Linked DNA regions of Arabidopsis thaliana. The protein of the gene in region 2 interacts with the protein of the main gene of each other region in a pairwise test. Each region holds a gene or a part of one and is shown on either strand. Other genes may lie near its edges.

Region 1 (4,919 bases), 5.8 Mb from region 2:
TTTCTGAAGCTAGAGTTTACAGTCACGTGTGAAAATCAAACCAATTTGGATCATTATTGAAGATAAATGAATACTTGATATATTGTTAGTACAAATTTAAACAAAGCGATAGGTTTAGTGGCATTCAGAATAAGTTCACCAAGAACCGGCACTACTTTATCCGGGATTAAATCAACTCTTACAATAGAGTTAACTGGACTAATAGGCCGATTTGTTGTGGTAAAACAAAACCAATGAAATATATGATAAGATTGAGATTTAAGAATTCAAGACTGAGTCCGTTGAACAGCCCATTCTAATTCTGATTGCTAGATAAGGGATAGATGGGGGGCATTATTAAGGTTTGGGAAAAAGGCTGATATCACGTTTGACCTAGCACATATGTGGCCCAACATTACAAGAATTCCATAGAAAACCAGTATTGTAATATCGGCCCATATTATATTCTTGACGACTTGGAGATATTGTAAGTCGACGTCGTTGTTTGACTTAGATGGGAATGGGACCCAAACGTCTCGAATAAAGGATAGTTTAAACACGTGAATCACGCGGTCCCCACTTTTTGCTGTGTGTTTCTCACCGCCATACATATATTATACCCACTCGTGACTTCATTTTCCATAATTACTATATATACTAATTTTTTGTTTTAACTTTATCGTTTGTTAAAGATTTTTCCAAAATAATATAGTCATTGTATATTCATTTTCGCAGAGCCGTAGTTTATATTTTGATGATAATTTTATGACTTAAAGAGTGAAAGCTATAAATATATTACAATTCAATTGTGGTTGCGAGAGAATAAACAAAAAGAGAAAGAGAAAAAAAAAACGTTACAGAAGAGAAAGTGCAGAGCTGTGCAGGCGCATTTGAAAATGAAATTAAAAAGAAAAAGAGATCCAAAGAAAATTAAATGCATCTCACGTTCTTCTCATTCTGGTCATCTCTCCTAAATCCACGTGAACTTCACGTGCTTTTCACGCCCTCCTCTCTATCGACTTGGCGTTTCCTTTCTTCTAAAGGAGTTGAATTGTTTTGTCAACATTTATCAAGTTATTTAGTAATTTGTTTTTTTGTTTTGTTTTTAAAAAAATTATTTACTCCCGTTGTAGAACCACCATCAATAATATTACCAAAAATAATAATCAAGGATCTAAACTAAAATAAGCCTTTTATTTTGTATAATTCTGAAAGCATTTGAAACTTAAGGAACAACTCTTTAGTCTTTGCAACAAAACAAAACACAACAAAAACCGAATATTTAAGCCTAACTTGAATGTGAATTGATTTGGTCAAAATTCCCGGTGCTTGACCACCGGTCTTAGTTGGCATACTTTGCAATTATGTAAACAAAAATTTTAAAAATTGAAAGCAAACTTCTAAATTTGGGTTTGGTTTCCCCTTTAGTTATTTCCATGAACATGAGAATCTAATCTCGAGTTGTCAGATAGTATTTGTTTAGATCTACACCAGTTGAGATAGATCTGTTGCAAATTTTTAATTAATCAAAACCCATAATTGAAAATTATGTCAATCAATTATTGACAAAAACCATGACATAATCTAAGGGGTTTTCAATCGTCGTGTATCAAAGACTCGAGACAAAGACTAAATCGAACCAGACCCGGTTTAAGTTTCTAAACTCAATTGTGTAGTTAAGTAGCTAACCATGGTTCAGATGAAAGTCTTTTTGTTTTGTTTTTTGTTTTGTTTGTTGGGGTTTGGTCTTTTAATAAAAAAGAGCACGAAGAACATGCGTCGGACTCTCTCTCTTCCTTGAATTCATTCAATTGGCCACGGCGACAAAACAGGGAGCCGATACAGCGAAACTGATACATCTTTTTTTATTTTCTGGATTCTTAGGGTTCTTTTTCGGGGAATTTAGGTAATTTGTTTGTCCATTTTGGTGGGGTTTGGGAGATTTAAAATTTGTGTTTTTTTTTGGGTCGGATTCTCAAAAATCTGATTTTGAGGAGAAAATCTCGGTGGAAGAGACTTGATTCAAATCTTCTTTACTGGTAAAAATATATTCTTCTCAATTCCTCATTTTCTGTTGGTGGAGTTTGATTTTTGTCATTTAATTGTTGTTAAAGAAAATAGGGGCAAGATCTGAGATCTCTGGGTGTTCCATGCAAAACTGTTATACTCCGCCGTATATTTGCATCTGGGTCACACTTCTAAACCCTATCATTTGACTTAAGAATCGATTTCTGAAGATCTGGGTTTCTTAAAAGTCTTTCCTTTTTGTTGGGATCCAAACAACAAAAGAAAAGAAAGCAGAGATGAATATTGGTCGCCTAGTGTGGAACGAGGACGATAAAGCGATTGTTGCGTCATTACTGGGCAAACGAGCTCTCGATTACTTGCTTTCCAACTCTGTTTCCAATGCTAATCTCTTGATGACTCTAGGAAGCGACGAGAATCTGCAGAACAAGCTCTCGGATCTCGTCGAGAGACCCAACGCTTCTAATTTCTCTTGGAACTACGCCATTTTCTGGCAGATTTCCAGGTCAAAGGCCGGAGATTTGGTTCTCTGTTGGGGCGATGGATATTGCAGAGAGCCTAAAGAAGGAGAGAAATCAGAGATCGTTAGGATTCTAAGTATGGGAAGAGAAGAAGAAACGCATCAGACTATGAGAAAGAGAGTATTGCAAAAGCTTCATGATTTGTTTGGTGGCTCAGAAGAAGAGAACTGTGCTTTAGGACTAGATAGAGTTACTGACACTGAGATGTTTCTTCTTTCTTCTATGTATTTCTCATTCCCTCGAGGTGAAGGTGGTCCAGGCAAGTGTTTTGCCTCTGCTAAACCTGTTTGGTTATCCGATGTCGTCAATTCGGGTTCTGATTATTGCGTTAGATCGTTTCTTGCTAAATCTGCTGGCATTCAGACTGTTGTTTTGGTTCCTACTGATCTTGGTGTTGTTGAGTTAGGCTCAACTTCATGTTTGCCTGAAAGTGAAGACTCAATCTTGTCTATAAGATCATTGTTTACCAGTAGTTTGCCTCCGGTTAGAGCTGTTGCTTTACCTGTTACTGTAGCTGAAAAGATTGATGATAACAGAACGAAGATATTCGGCAAGGATTTGCACAATTCAGGGTTTCTTCAACATCATCAGCATCACCAACAACAACAACAACAACCACCGCAACAGCAACAGCATAGACAGTTTAGAGAGAAACTCACGGTTAGAAAAATGGATGATAGAGCTCCCAAGAGATTAGATGCTTATCCGAATAATGGGAACAGGTTTATGTTTTCGAACCCAGGCACCAACAACAACACTCTTCTGAGTCCTACTTGGGTTCAACCTGAGAACTACACGAGGCCAATCAACGTGAAGGAAGTTCCAAGCACGGATGAGTTCAAGTTTTTACCTTTGCAGCAATCATCGCAGAGGCTGCTTCCTCCTGCTCAAATGCAGATAGATTTCTCTGCTGCGAGTTCAAGGGCTTCAGAGAATAATTCAGATGGAGAAGGAGGAGGGGAATGGGCAGATGCAGTGGGTGCTGATGAATCTGGTAACAACAGACCAAGAAAACGCGGAAGGAGACCTGCCAACGGAAGAGCGGAAGCTTTGAACCATGTAGAAGCAGAGAGGCAGAGGCGTGAGAAGCTTAACCAGAGGTTTTACGCTCTGAGATCCGTTGTTCCCAACATATCCAAGATGGACAAAGCGTCCTTGTTGGGAGACGCGGTTTCTTATATAAACGAGCTTCACGCGAAGCTAAAGGTCATGGAAGCAGAGAGAGAGAGGTTAGGGTATAGCTCAAATCCACCTATCAGCTTGGATTCAGATATAAATGTTCAAACCTCAGGTGAAGATGTCACAGTGAGGATAAACTGTCCGTTGGAGTCTCATCCGGCTTCCAGAATCTTCCATGCGTTTGAAGAGAGTAAAGTAGAAGTGATAAACTCGAACCTGGAAGTTTCTCAGGACACAGTGTTGCATACGTTTGTAGTCAAATCTGAAGAATTAACGAAAGAGAAGCTGATATCGGCCTTGTCTAGAGAGCAAACAAATTCAGTTCAGTCAAGAACATCATCAGGTAGATAGCCTTTTGAGAGACAGAAGAAGGTGGAAGTAAGTTTGTAATCAAGAACCGGTTTTGAATGGTTCTTTTTTTCTTCTAGGTATCTTTTGTTTTTACCTTTTTTTGGTTATATACCTGTAAGAATCCTCCAAACTAGGATTTTAGAAGTTTTATTGACAAAAGTAGACATTATCATTTACTCGTTTTACAGTGGACAAAGCTGGGAATTAAGTAATTAACGATAATGTTGTATCTGTTAAAGTCGTAGACTAGCTCATGAATCAGTCTTTATTCATTCTGATATGTCCTATGTGTTGGATTTGGTGAAGTGTTTAATCGACAAGTCAGATAAGTGTTATGGATTGGTCACGGAATTGCTCAAGAACAACAAAACACAGCTGATTCATTGCTTGTGAACAAGAGGAAACACTATGATGTTCGTGCACACCATTTTTAGTGTTCAAACTAACATAAACCGTTATCGCCTGGGGAAAACAAAAGTTTTAAGAAGAGAAACAGGTGGAAAATGTAACAAAAATAAAAATAGGTTCCACCGAGACTTGAACTCGGGTTACTAGATTCAGAGTCTAGTGTCCTAACCGCTAGACCATGGAACCGCTTGATGTTTAGATTGCAGTAAATACGTTTTTAATATGTTTCTCTATTGTGAGTCAAAGGGTAATGCGATGTTTCTTTCTAGATTTCCTAAGCTAACTCAGTCCTAATAAACCGATTAAAAAGAACATGAACAAAGCATGCAGATCATAAAAGTGTCACACAAAGAGAGAGATACATGTTAGATTGTTTTTTTTTCTTCTCTTAAATGATAATTAATCGTTCTAACAAAAACTTAGCTACTAGTCTTCCATGATTTGTTATATATTGAG
Region 2 (7,199 bases):
TTTCAACATAAAAGATTAAACATCCTGAAGATTACTACTAGAATGTTATAAAAGTGTAACATAACACACCTTTTCTTTCCTAATTAGTTTACAGCTTTCTACAGGACCAGTGCCAGCAAAAACCTCTTGAAGCAGAGGTTCCGTCACCTGAATATGGATGTTTCCAACGTACCTGCAATTTCTCAAAGGCAGGCAGACTAAAAATCTAAACAAGAAACAGAACAATGAAACAAAAACATAAAAATTAGCAGGGCTACAAGTCCCTCAACATCAAGAAGAATCACCTATGAGGGCATCATAACAAAGAATCACCTTTTCTAGAAAATAGAAACAAGTCTTTAGAGAAACGTTGTCAAATTCAACTGTACAAGTATGAACTATATAATATAGTACATAACTACAATGCAGAAGTGTTTCCCTGGACTAGCTTTGAGAGTGACAAACTGAAAACTTGAGTTCACTACTGAAACTTTTAAAGCCAAAACACCAAAACATACATAAAAAGTGAACAAAAATACCAAAAGAAAAAACGAAACCTAACACTCACACACTGCGGCAAGTACTTGGATCAAAACCAGGGGGGAGATTTCCACTTGGGATTGGTTCTATCTGCAAAAAGGAAAAAAATAGGAAGCCAAAGAAAATGAAAAAGAAAGAAATAAAGGAAAAAACTTTACTTCCTAAAGTCTCAGCAACTAAGCTACGATAACGAATCAGTCTCACCTCAAAGATTTTCATGGAGTTGTTGAACCAAATATCAGATAATAAGACAAACACTTTAAAAGAAATGTAACGAATACACAAGAAGCAAGTCTATTAGTGGTAATCCCCATAAATTTCAAAACTTTTTCTCGTTTGACCAATCAAAAATGAAACAAAAAACAAGAGAAACAAGCATCTTCAATCATAGAAAATGAAACCAAAAATCTCGAGTTCCTAATCTTGGACCTTATACAACAAAAAAGAGAGAAAAACCAGTGAAATCGAGCTTGGGAAAAAGAGCCTAGAAACCCAAATCGAGCATGGAAATGGAAGAAGAATAGAGCAAACCTGTGGCGGGGCAAGGAGACCAGGATGGTAGAGAGACTGTTGCTGCATAAGAGCTTGCTGCATCATAACTTGTTGCTGCTGCTGCTGCTGCTTCAACCTCTGCATTTTCTCTCTCGGGGAAAAAATTATTGTCTTTGATTTTGCTTTTCGTTCCCAGGTAATGAAAATTGACACAGTGTTCTGTCTTTTAGGGTTCGAAAGTGTTTTCGGTGTTCGAGAAAAATGTAAGAAAAATGACAAAATATTAATAACAAAAAAAAAATGAAGAACAGGAAAAAAAAAAGGAAGTCTCTTGATAGAAAGCGAAGGAAGCAATCGAGTGGCTCTTACGAATTTTATTGGATTTATTATTTTTACACATCGATTAGCTAAAGTCACAGGCTGTAAGAAAATTTAAAAAGCAACAGCCAATGAACTCGTCCCACGTTAAACTTATGGCTCAGGCCCAATCACTGTCCAAATCAGACACGCCTTCAATGAACTTGAACCTGACAACTAATTACAATAAACACCCCTGAGTTTAGTGAAAACTTGATATACACTCCAATAATAATCATTTTCATAAATTACACCCTAAATAAATTAGAAAGGAGCTCTGATCACTTTCAACCATCTTTACCCGCATTACGATTGCAGTCAGATTCCTCTTCATGTTATTGCAGTCAGATCAATTCACAACTCCTAAATATTCTTCCTCTTGTCTAATTTGCTATTTCTCGCTTAACGTTATGTAATTTAACTCCCAAGTGTTGTACGTAGTTAACTAATTATAATATAACTTTACTATCGTCTATTGTGTTTATGAATGAATATTCAAGTTAGAATAAGATTACATACTGTAGTACAAAGCAAAATAAAATCACTTAGATAAGTCAGAAAAATCGAAACGTTAATCTAAAAACTCAGTTCCTACAAGAAATTTAGCAAATATTACTATAGCCTTAGATCGAGATCTTTCGAACTTTGGCCTTCTTCAATCTTCATAATATCATCTTTATCACCGTCTGATTTGATATGGGCCATGGTTTGACCAATGGCGTTATCCGGCGGTCTTTGTGACGACTGTCCTGCCTCTAGTGGTTGACCGGTTACAATCTCTGGCTTGGGAGGATAACGATGATGACCTGCGTTTTGGTTAACTTGGTACGGAGCCCTAGCCACAGCTCTGCAACAGAAAAATTAATAACGTAAATTACGAGGCTTGTTGAGGATAATTTAGGAGAACTTATATCAGAGGGAGGATCCTTAAACTTTTGAGTTTTGAACTAACTAGAGTGATTGGAAATTTGGAACATTAAAACAAGTTTCAAAAAGTATGATAAGGTTAAATACCTGTCTTTCCGTTTAGCAAAGAATCGATGGAGGGAAGCTCTACGTGCTATACGTTCCACGATCTGATTTTGTTCTTGTTGCTGTTGTTGTTCCTTTGTTAGGTGATTATTATCAGTAGGCTCATTGAGATCAGGAAGAACCATGCTGCTCTTGTTGTTGTTGTTTTCGTCATTGATTGGTGTCTGAATGTTAATCTCAGTCACAGGCTTGGCTTGTTTTGCTACTTCCATAATCTCTTTAGCTTTGTCTACGGGGAACTCATTATATACTAAAACTTTCCCTCCGAAGAATATGGTCAGCTGCGAACTTCCTGGCTGTGATTCACTGCAAACCAAAAACAGATTTCAGAACAAAACCAATTTTAACCGGATTAACCGATTATCCTTTTCTCTAATCTCCAATAACCAAAAACAACAAGTATTCCCAAGGAACAAAAGGAGAGACCTGAGGTCAGCAACATCTTTGACTTTGCCTCCTGATGAGGTAGAGGGTTCGCCTTTGGAATGCCCTGCCTTATGCATCGCATTTTGTTTCCCTGCATAAAGAGAATAAAAACTTTCGTGAACTATAATAACTTTAGAAAAATGATATAGCATCTTATATCTTTGGAATTTTATTAACCACATCTCAATCAATTTCTATATCAACTTATTCGTTATTTTTGTTACTTGTCTTCATAATTACAAGGAGAAATTATTTCTGAAGTAAGGAACTGACTTACAAATGAAGAAACAATACAAAAGTAGTAAATCTGGCAAAAGCAAGTAGTAACAGAACTGAGTTTTTAAAGTACTATTACCAAGTGGCGGCCATGAAAGAAGAAAGAGATAATAAAAGTACCTGGTGGATCGAATTTTCCGGGCAACGCGAGACTGGAATCGGGTTTTCGGTATAAGCCAAGATCAATGTTTCCGAAACTACCCTTCTCCTTCAAGTAACGGCTGAGCAAACTACATCTCCGGGTAAAGTCAGATTTCTCCGGCGCTTGTGCCTTAGCATTTTCATTGCTCGACGACATGTTGTTGTTTATTGAGAAGAAAGAATTCTCCACACTTACTTTTTAAAGATATTCTTTATCTCTTCTTTTCTTTTCTTTTTGTTGGTGCGTGGATTGCGCGTAAAATGGAAGAGTACAAGAGGCTACTAGCTCAATAGCTCATGTGTTTATAAACTCATTCACCCAATAAGTTTCTGTGACTTTAATAGCCTCTCATAAATTAATGAAAACAAAAATAAATAGGAACTTTTTAGTTTCTTAAAAATATTTCAATATATTGTGACCAAAATAGAATTAAACTTCTCAATAATAAATTTATTAACAACAACCAAAAAAACCAAAAAACAAATCTTACATAAAGCCATGAGATTATATCATATTTAGTAATATTCCATCGCATGCATTTTTAACTAGTTAAAGAACTATATCTAGTGTGAAGAAAGGAATTTTCATCCATGATTAATAGTAAGAAAATTAATGTTAATAATCCATCATTGTGCAAGTAATTTATCTATTGTTTTATGAGTTGGTACAACAAATTTATTGCCCTGTCTTATCATAAAAATATGTTCACCTCTTGTTTCTTGTTTGGCACAGTTTAGTTGTCTACCATCAACGGCCAGATTTCAAAATTGGACTACTTTTTTATATATATTTTCGGTTAGAATTTACCGCACGTTTTCCTTACGCGTAACGATAAAAGAGAAAAAGAATAAAGATTTCAGAACCGACGGCAAACGTTATTAAACGGCGTATGTCACAAATTCGTAAAAGACTCGAAATTTGATCGTATTTACAAAATTTGCCCTTCCACAAGAGCACATTACCAACTCCAGTGATGGCATCATCGTAATAGAAACAACTTTCATGGCCTTTTTTTACATCACCGCGACGTTCCTCACGTTAGTTAACAAACTTAACGGCGGTGCGAATTGAATAGTAAGTGGACCAATGTGGGATCCTACCATCAAACCCCTACGAAGTTTCATGTGCCATAAAAATTCAAAGTCTCCGATACGATCCGACAGAAGTTTTTTGATTAAAACACGTGGTTTAAATAGAACAGACCGTCAAGATTGTGACACGTATCGCAATCTGTACGACGCACTAGCAACAGTATCGTGTGAATCGCGTTTTTCCCACTTTCCTATAGAAAGAAAAAAGGAAAAATCTTAAGATCACCTAATCAGTTTGGTCAAAAATAAAATTGATGGATCAATTGACCGAACTGCCCCTTTCACGGATGCCCATAATAATCAATACGTTCGTTGGTTGCTTCAAAACTACGACTCGTTCAAAAAAACGTGTTCGGGGAAAATGATACCAAAGATATAAAAAGTTTAGATGTGACTTAGTTTAATAAGTGTTGTTGATGGGACTAAATGAAGCAAGATTAGAGCAAACCGAGTGATCGGCCAATTGATCGAACCAGATTGTCAAACCGGTTTGGTAACTCGTTACCCCTAGCTACGCCACTACACTACTTGCATTGTTGCAAAGACCAAGTGGCTGTTGTGTTTTGGAAAAAAAAAAAACGTTCTGGGGTTTAGAAAAATTGGGTAGCGAATGGGTCCTTTTGAAAGTGATATTTTTTTTTGTAGAAGAGGGGGGCGAACCCCCATTTTTATTAAAACTGAAAAAACTAAAAAAATTACACTTGAACGTTCCGGGGGTACGCAGACCCCGCTACATCATCGTGAACAATCGACATAACAATATCCGGAGTAGAATTAAACAAATGAAAACCTAACGGTAAAAAAAAAGCATAGTTAGCTAACCCATCCGCGAGACGATTAGCTTCTCTATACACATGCGAAATCCGGACTGACCAGTCCTTTGAAAGTAAGCCATGGCACAACCGCACCAGGAAGGACAGCGGATGCGAATCATCAATCCCTGTCCGAAGAAAACCCACTACCATCTCCGAATCAATCTCCATCTCCAACTGTGTGACACCGCGCTCCCAAGCGATATTTAAACCGTAATATGCTCCCCATAGTTCCGCAAGCGGAGCCGAACAAATTCCAATATTCAACGAAAACCCATAACACCAATTTCCATCCCCGTCTCGAACTACTCCACCTGCTGTAGCTAGTCTCGGGTTACCACGCGAAGCACCATCAGTATTGAGCTTAAACCAACCCACCCTTGGCGGAGACCACGCAATCAATCTCTCCTCCCTAGCTGTCCGCGTCGTCACTCCCATTTTGTGCACATGCGCCTTCCAAACATCCAACGCACGATCCTTAATAAAACGAACCCGATCCCGACACTTCTTGTTCTCGCCAAAGATGTTACCGTAACGCCATTTCCACCCCCACCATATGGCCTGCGAAAAAGTGACCGCCCATGGACAACCATTAATCTCTATCTCCTCTCCTAAATTCGCATAGATCCATTCTAACAGCGATTTCGAAAAGAAAGAAGAGAGTCTCCGTACTGGTAACAAGCGGGTCCAAATTCCCGCCATCGCCGGACAGTCCCGTAAAATGTGTAGAATTGTCTCCTCCCCACTCTCGCCATGTAGAAGACCATGTACCTTTAGACACCATCCACGCTCTGTTATGAATATCACCGACACGGTACTTGCTTCTCAAAATTTTCGACCATAGACTCACATCATCATGAAGTGATATAGTACTATATAACTCTTGTCTTGGTTTTAATAATAAAAACAAAAATGATATTTTCTTTACATTGAACCGAAACGCCACAGATGCTCTACGCTAATATTTGACCCGTTTCAACCTCTCATTACATAATCCACTTCTTTCGAATTTATAATTATATTCCAACACTATATATCACTAAACTTGTAATTGTGTCTTATGTTGTTACTGTTAGAATATTTATATCATTAATAGTTAAATACTCTATTGGAGAATATGGCATGGGCTTGGTGGGAACTTAACATTGATTTTGGGCCAACACCAACCCATATTTTAAGTTACGGTCTTAGAGATCATCATCAAGGCAGTTTTCGTCCTTTGAATGAGAAGATCCATATTATTTTGAAAGCAAAACTTTCGTATTTCAAAAAGCTAATGAAGAATCAAGAAACAATAATATTCCTTTGAAATGTTCGACATTCGTTAGGCACTAACCTTAAATTTCAATCTTATAGACGTAGATTTATATCATATTCTATGTTTTCGAATAATTTTTTTCCAATTGACGAAAAAGAATAATCTATCTTCTTAAAATTTATATATTAATTGATAGTGTAATACCGAATTTATAAACTCTATTTTAAATACACTTTTTACTAAAGTTAAACGTTCAATTTTTTCAAATTTTGAACAAAGCTAGGAAAAGCTATATTCCAATGTCTTTATAGATATGATAATACATCAAGGAGAAACGAGAGAGGAGTATCTCAAGAGTTGACTTGACTCCTACATAAAAAGTGAACCAAAGGCACAAATAATGTAACAAAGAAGAATGATTGAATCTTTATAAGCTGAGGTTATCCACCTTAAAATTACACAAATCACACGCACACAGGTATGTATGTATATCACTCTGACATCTCATATACATATCTACACATGTACGCAATTTCAAGAACATGTTTGGTTCTATGGACACAAATGCCCACAGATCAAATCATGCAAAAAAAGAAGTTAAAAACATTCTGAAACGTCCAGGGCTTAATTTGCAGATGCACCAAAAAAATTCCTCTGAAATGGGAGACTCATTCATTACTTCTTTAAATTTTCTCGAGAAGATTTTGAATCTGCATTAAATGAAAGAGTATCTTGCATGAGTTCATGAAAGAAAAACATTGTAACTTAAGAGATTTTATCGTTGTGTCTTAATT
Region 3 (5,023 bases), on a different chromosome or scaffold from region 2:
AAACAATAGTACGGAAAGCCATGGATGGAAAACCGGGACACATTCGTCTAGAAGTTGACTCTTGGCAAGCCATACCAAGCGATTTAATTGGGGAGGATGAACCGCCCTAGAGTAAACCTGAACCGGAATGCTCATCCTCTGCTGCTCAATAAAAAGTTACCGTAGGGTTGACTTCAAGTCCTTTGATGACGACTATACTGTGAATCTGTGATTACTTGTTCTCAATGCAATAACTACAAGTCTCTTCTTCTTCCTCTTTTTAAAGCTTGTCTTCTACTTGTGATTACTTGTTCTGAATATTGTGATATCAATCAAGACAAGTATGAAATCACCAAGAGCTCTAAGAATATATTTTTTTCTATCATTTTATTCCTTGGATTTTTGAAGAGTAACAAAACATATATGATTTTCATGAGAAGTTGAAGCTGAGAGAATAATATTTAGAGTTGTATTATCGTGAATTGTTGGTAACGATGATGGAGGCTCCTGGGACTAGGGTTGGGAGATGGGAGTTCACTTCTATTGAGAGCAAGTCGGTGAGGAGGAGTTTCTTTGAAACAATGTGATAGGCGGCGGCGATTTTGTATGTGGGAGACGGTGAGGGGTCTTCTTCACCGTCTCACGGTGGATAGCCACAACATCATCAACGTAGACATTAGGTTGAAAAATTCGACATCTTATGGTATTTAATATGACGATTAAAAAGAGAGAAACAAGTCTATTTATCCTTTGAATTGTTAATGATCCTTTTTAATTTATTTTTCAAACTTATAAAACTATGAATAATAGCATCAGAAATAATAAAAAAAAAACCATGTAACTTTATTGCTTATGAGTCAATCAAAGTATATATTTATTCATGTTGTAGCTTTTCAATATTATTAACCATGTTTGTTTTCATTATTTTATTTTTACATAAGTAACATATTTTCATGCCATTAAAATTTTACAACATAAGATAATTTTATTTTATAATATTCAAATTTCCAATTTCCAATTTCCTCTTTAGTCTTAAGTCTTAACATGTCAATTTTTGTATTAAAAAAAAAACATGTCAATTTTTTGTACAAAAAAAATAAAACCATGTCAATTTAGGAGGAAAAAAAACTGGAAAAGCCTGACAAAGAAAAAAAAGCTGGAAATATCAAAAATAAAATGATAACGTCGCCTGAGAGATTCGAACTCTCGCGGGGAAACCCCATGTACTTAGCAGGCACACGCCTTAACCACTCGGCCAAAGCGACTTTATTGATCATGAATCAATCTAAAATATATATATATATAAACCTATCGTTTTGAATTTTTTTTTTTGGCAAACAGCTTTTGATACTATTATATATATATATATATATATTATCCCCACATATCTTTAGCTATGTCTTTTTCGAAGGAAATTTTGAAGTATTAAATTAAGTGACGATTTACACACATATGGAGTAATTAAATCGTTTTAGCATATCTTGTAATGTTGTCTCTCTTATCCAACTATTCTAAAGAAAGTGGTGACTAGAAAATATAGATTATATACTATGTGACCAACTTTTTAGTATATCTTTATAAAAACGCATAAGATATGTCATATGTGTTTCCTCTAAAACTTGTTAAAGAAATGAAAAATCTGTTGGTAGATGTGAATAGTTATGGACTAGTTTGGCTTTAAAAAGAAAATTGGGCCCATGTATTTCTATTCATGCATTGGACATGTACAATGTACAAATATATTCATGATTGCAAACATGTAGTATATATGCTGACTATACGATTGTTATTTATTCAAAAGTTAAGAAAATGCACAAGATACACATGGACGAAATCGAAACTAATTGTACAATAAAATAATAATTATTAGTATTACGAAGGGAAAAGGGAAATGGTCCGTACTAGTTGTCCGAACCCGAAGAAGCCCCAATCGCTGATGCAACTGTCTAGGAGCCGCCACGCTGCGAAGAAGCTCTAGGGTTTGTTCGTCTTCTTCCTCGGTTTCATCAGGTTTTCATCTTCTCGATTCTGATTTCGGCTTCTGTTTTAGCTTTATTCGGCTTATTGTGATTTAATTTGAGCTGATTTGGCATTATTGCTGTGTAGTTAGGGGTCAGGGTTTTAATCTGATCGCGTCTAGGTTATGATTCTTTTGATGATTTCGATCTTTAGAAAGTCAATTGATTTGTTTCTTCGTATGTAGCTCGTTTAGCTGACAGATCTGCATAGTGTCTTATCAGTTACTAGATCTTTGTGCTATCTCTCACTCTGATTTCTGGATTTTGATTCCTTTTTTTTTTTTGTTAGCTGACATACAAGTGTGAGTGATGTGTGTCTTTGCTTTGTTTCCATTTTAGTTTAGTTTCTCAAAATGGAAATGATGAATATTGGGGGTTTTCAGAACCTAAGTTGTAGAAATGGTCTTTTTTTGTTATCACAGAACTCAAAAGGTACTTGGTAGGAGCGAGAAGAAAGTTTCTGGAGAATTGCTGAATTGTTTCTTTCAATGGTTTTGTTTCTAAGGTACTATCCGAGTCCAATGTTTCTGAGAGTTCTGGTAGCTTGTTAATTTGTTATACTGAATACTAGGATTGATTTTGGCAAAGCATGTGATGTTTGTTGCAAGTTCAAGCAGATGTGTTTCTTTTTATAAATTTAGAAGAAGTTTACTTCCGCAGCCATCTATGATTCTCAAAGTTCTTAGCTTTGCGTTTGATTCTTTTTTCTAGAAACCATTGGTTAGCTTTGGATAATGAGTCCTTTTCTGCCCATGATGTATTTTTCTCAGATGGTAATCAAGATTGTTGACGGTGCTCTGAAGATCTGTTGACCTGCTCAGAGTTTGCTTAAAAAGTTTGAGAAAAAATGGACGATGATAATGGGCTCGAGCTCAGCTTGGGTCTTTCTTGTGGAGGATCAACAGGAAAAGCTAAGGGTAACAATAATAATAATGCTGGAAGCTCCTCAGAGAACTACAGGGCAGAAGGAGGCGATAGAAGTGCTAAAGTGATTGATGACTTTAAGAACTTCCTGCATCCAACTTCTCAAAGACCTGCAGAGCCGAGTTCTGGTTCTCAGAGAAGTGATTCGGGTCAACAGCCTCCACAAAATTTCTTCAATGACCTCTCAAAAGCTCCTACAACTGAGGCTGAAGCTTCTACGAAACCTTTGTGGGTGGAGGATGAGTCACGGAAAGAAGCAGGGAACAAAAGAAAGTTCGGGTTCCCGGGGATGAATGATGATAAGAAAAAAGAGAAGGACTCGTCTCATGTTGATATGCATGAGAAGAAGACAAAAGCATCCCATGTTTCAACTGCGACAGATGAAGGATCAACAGCTGAAAACGAAGATGTAGCAGAGTCTGAAGTAGGTGGTGGTTCTTCTTCCAACCACGCAAAGGAGGTGGTTCGTCCTCCTACTGATACAAACATTGTGGACAACTTAACTGGTCAAAGGAGGAGCAACCATGGTGGATCTGGCACTGAAGAGTTTACAATGCGCAACATGAGTTACACCGTACCTTTCACAGTTCATCCGCAAAATGTCGTCACTAGTATGCCTTACTCTTTACCGACAAAAGAGTCTGGACAACACGCAGCAGCTACAAGTCTATTGCAGCCTAATGCTAATGCTGGAAATCTCCCGATTATGTTCGGATACTCACCAGTCCAGCTCCCTATGCTAGATAAGGACGGTTCAGGAGGGATTGTCGCACTTTCTCAATCTCCATTTGCTGGAAGAGTTCCATCAAACTCAGGTAAGCAAAACCTTCCCTTAAAACACGATTTAGTACTCTTACAGCAAAAATAGTAACTTTTCCTTCCAAAAAGCTACTGCAAAAGGCGAAGGCAAACAACCTGTTGCAGAAGAAGGTTCATCCGAGGATGCATCAGAACGACCAACGGGAGACAACAGCAACCTCAATACCGCTTTCTCTTTCGACTTTTCTGCCATAAAACCTGGAATGGCAGCAGATGTGAAGTTTGGAGGATCCGGGGCACGTCCCAACTTACCGTGGGTCTCAACCACTGGTTCAGGCCCACACGGACGGACAATCTCAGGTGTCACATACCGGTACAACGCAAACCAGATCAAAATCGTATGCGCTTGCCACGGCTCGCACATGTCACCGGAGGAGTTTGTACGGCACGCAAGCGAGGAGTACGTTAGCCCAGAATCATCCATGGGAATGACTGCAGCGTCAGCTCACACCTGAAAAGTCACCACCGGAAAAAAAGATGTCTGAAATCTTGTAAACAAATGGAAGGGTTTGTAATGAGTTTCTTTTTGGAACATACATTTTATTATGTTTAGTCGGATCAAACTCTCAAGCCAAAGTTTTTTAACTGAGCTTTCTGTTATGTTGTTGTAATCTCTCTACTTCATCACAATTCCTTATGTAATCCTCTTCTTTCCTTTTTGTTTTTTGGTTGAAAGGAAATTATATATAACCATAACATTATCGGTGTCCTTTGTTCCTTTGGTTAAAATCTAAACAACTATTTTGGTAAAATAATTCACTTTGATTTTGACTACTATGTAACGACAGCAAAACCTTCAATTATGTAATGTCATGTCAAAACCTGATACCATTGATACGGTTGGTTGTACAGAAAACCTGCAAGAATAATGTCAAACTCTTACTTAATAGTTAATAAATTGATAATGTTGTGGTTAAATTCTATAACAAAGAAGTAATTGAAAGACTAAAATAGTGAAAGTATTGATAAAACGATGATGAAGAGAAATCTCTTTATTGAATATTTCAGCTTAAGGTTTACAATGACAGAGAAGGGTTTATATATGAACCCCAAAATGGTGAGACACTAGGTCACACGTCATTAGCTGCACATCACGACAGAGGAACAAAGAGGATCAAATTTGTTATGAAGGGACAAATGATTAGCTGTGAATCCCGTACGTTGATGCGCTGGAAATTGAGGAATCTTGTTACCGTTGCAAGGTAGAGAAGACTTGAGGTTGATGGGCTTGACACTTTGACTGAGGCCCAAAGTATTGTTGAGTGTTGCAGGTCCATTCGCAG

What was found.
Region 1: the proteins of JAZ5 (region 2) and AT1G01260 interact in binary tests that used the Arabidopsis thaliana proteins (3 or more experiments, as listed by UniProt).
Region 3: the proteins of JAZ5 (region 2) and NINJA interact in binary tests that used the Arabidopsis thaliana proteins (3 or more experiments, as listed by UniProt).

What each region holds. Positions count from the first base shown.
Region 1 is NC_003070.9:107,313-112,231, forward strand, and holds AT1G01260 (basic helix-loop-helix (bHLH) DNA-binding superfamily protein), read left to right. Parts: upstream 1-1,633; 5' UTR 1,634-2,018; exon of another isoform or gene 2,019-2,093; 5' UTR 2,094-2,282; coding exon 2,283-4,055; 3' UTR 4,056-4,387; downstream 4,388-4,919.
Region 2 is NC_003070.9:5,953,671-5,960,869, forward strand, and holds JAZ5 (jasmonate-zim-domain protein 5), read right to left. Parts: upstream 3,842-7,199; 5' UTR 3,401-3,841; coding exon 3,223-3,400; exon of another isoform or gene 3,009-3,222; coding exon of another isoform or gene 2,918-3,008; coding exon 2,827-2,917; intron 2,707-2,826; coding exon 2,383-2,706; coding exon of another isoform or gene 2,316-2,382; exon of another isoform or gene 2,216-2,315; coding exon 1,984-2,215; 3' UTR 1,485-1,983; downstream 1-1,484. Other genes in the region: UBP1B (oligouridylate binding protein 1B), read right to left, coding at 70-172, 548-609, 1,051-1,155. UniProt on the Arabidopsis thaliana protein: Repressor of jasmonate responses.
Region 3 is NC_003075.7:14,263,502-14,268,524, reverse strand, and holds NINJA (Putative interactor of JAZ), read left to right. Parts: upstream 1-1,738; 5' UTR 1,739-1,989; intron 1,990-2,380; exon of another isoform or gene 2,381-2,419; 5' UTR 2,420-2,502; intron 2,503-2,767; 5' UTR 2,768-2,844; coding exon 2,845-3,736; intron 3,737-3,809; coding exon 3,810-4,195; 3' UTR 4,196-4,491; downstream 4,492-5,023. Other genes in the region: AT4G28920 (hypothetical protein (DUF626)), read left to right, coding at 1-110. UniProt on the Arabidopsis thaliana protein: Acts as a transcriptional repressor. Negative regulator of jasmonate responses. Connects the JAZ proteins and the non-JAZ protein TIFY8 with the TOPLESS corepressors.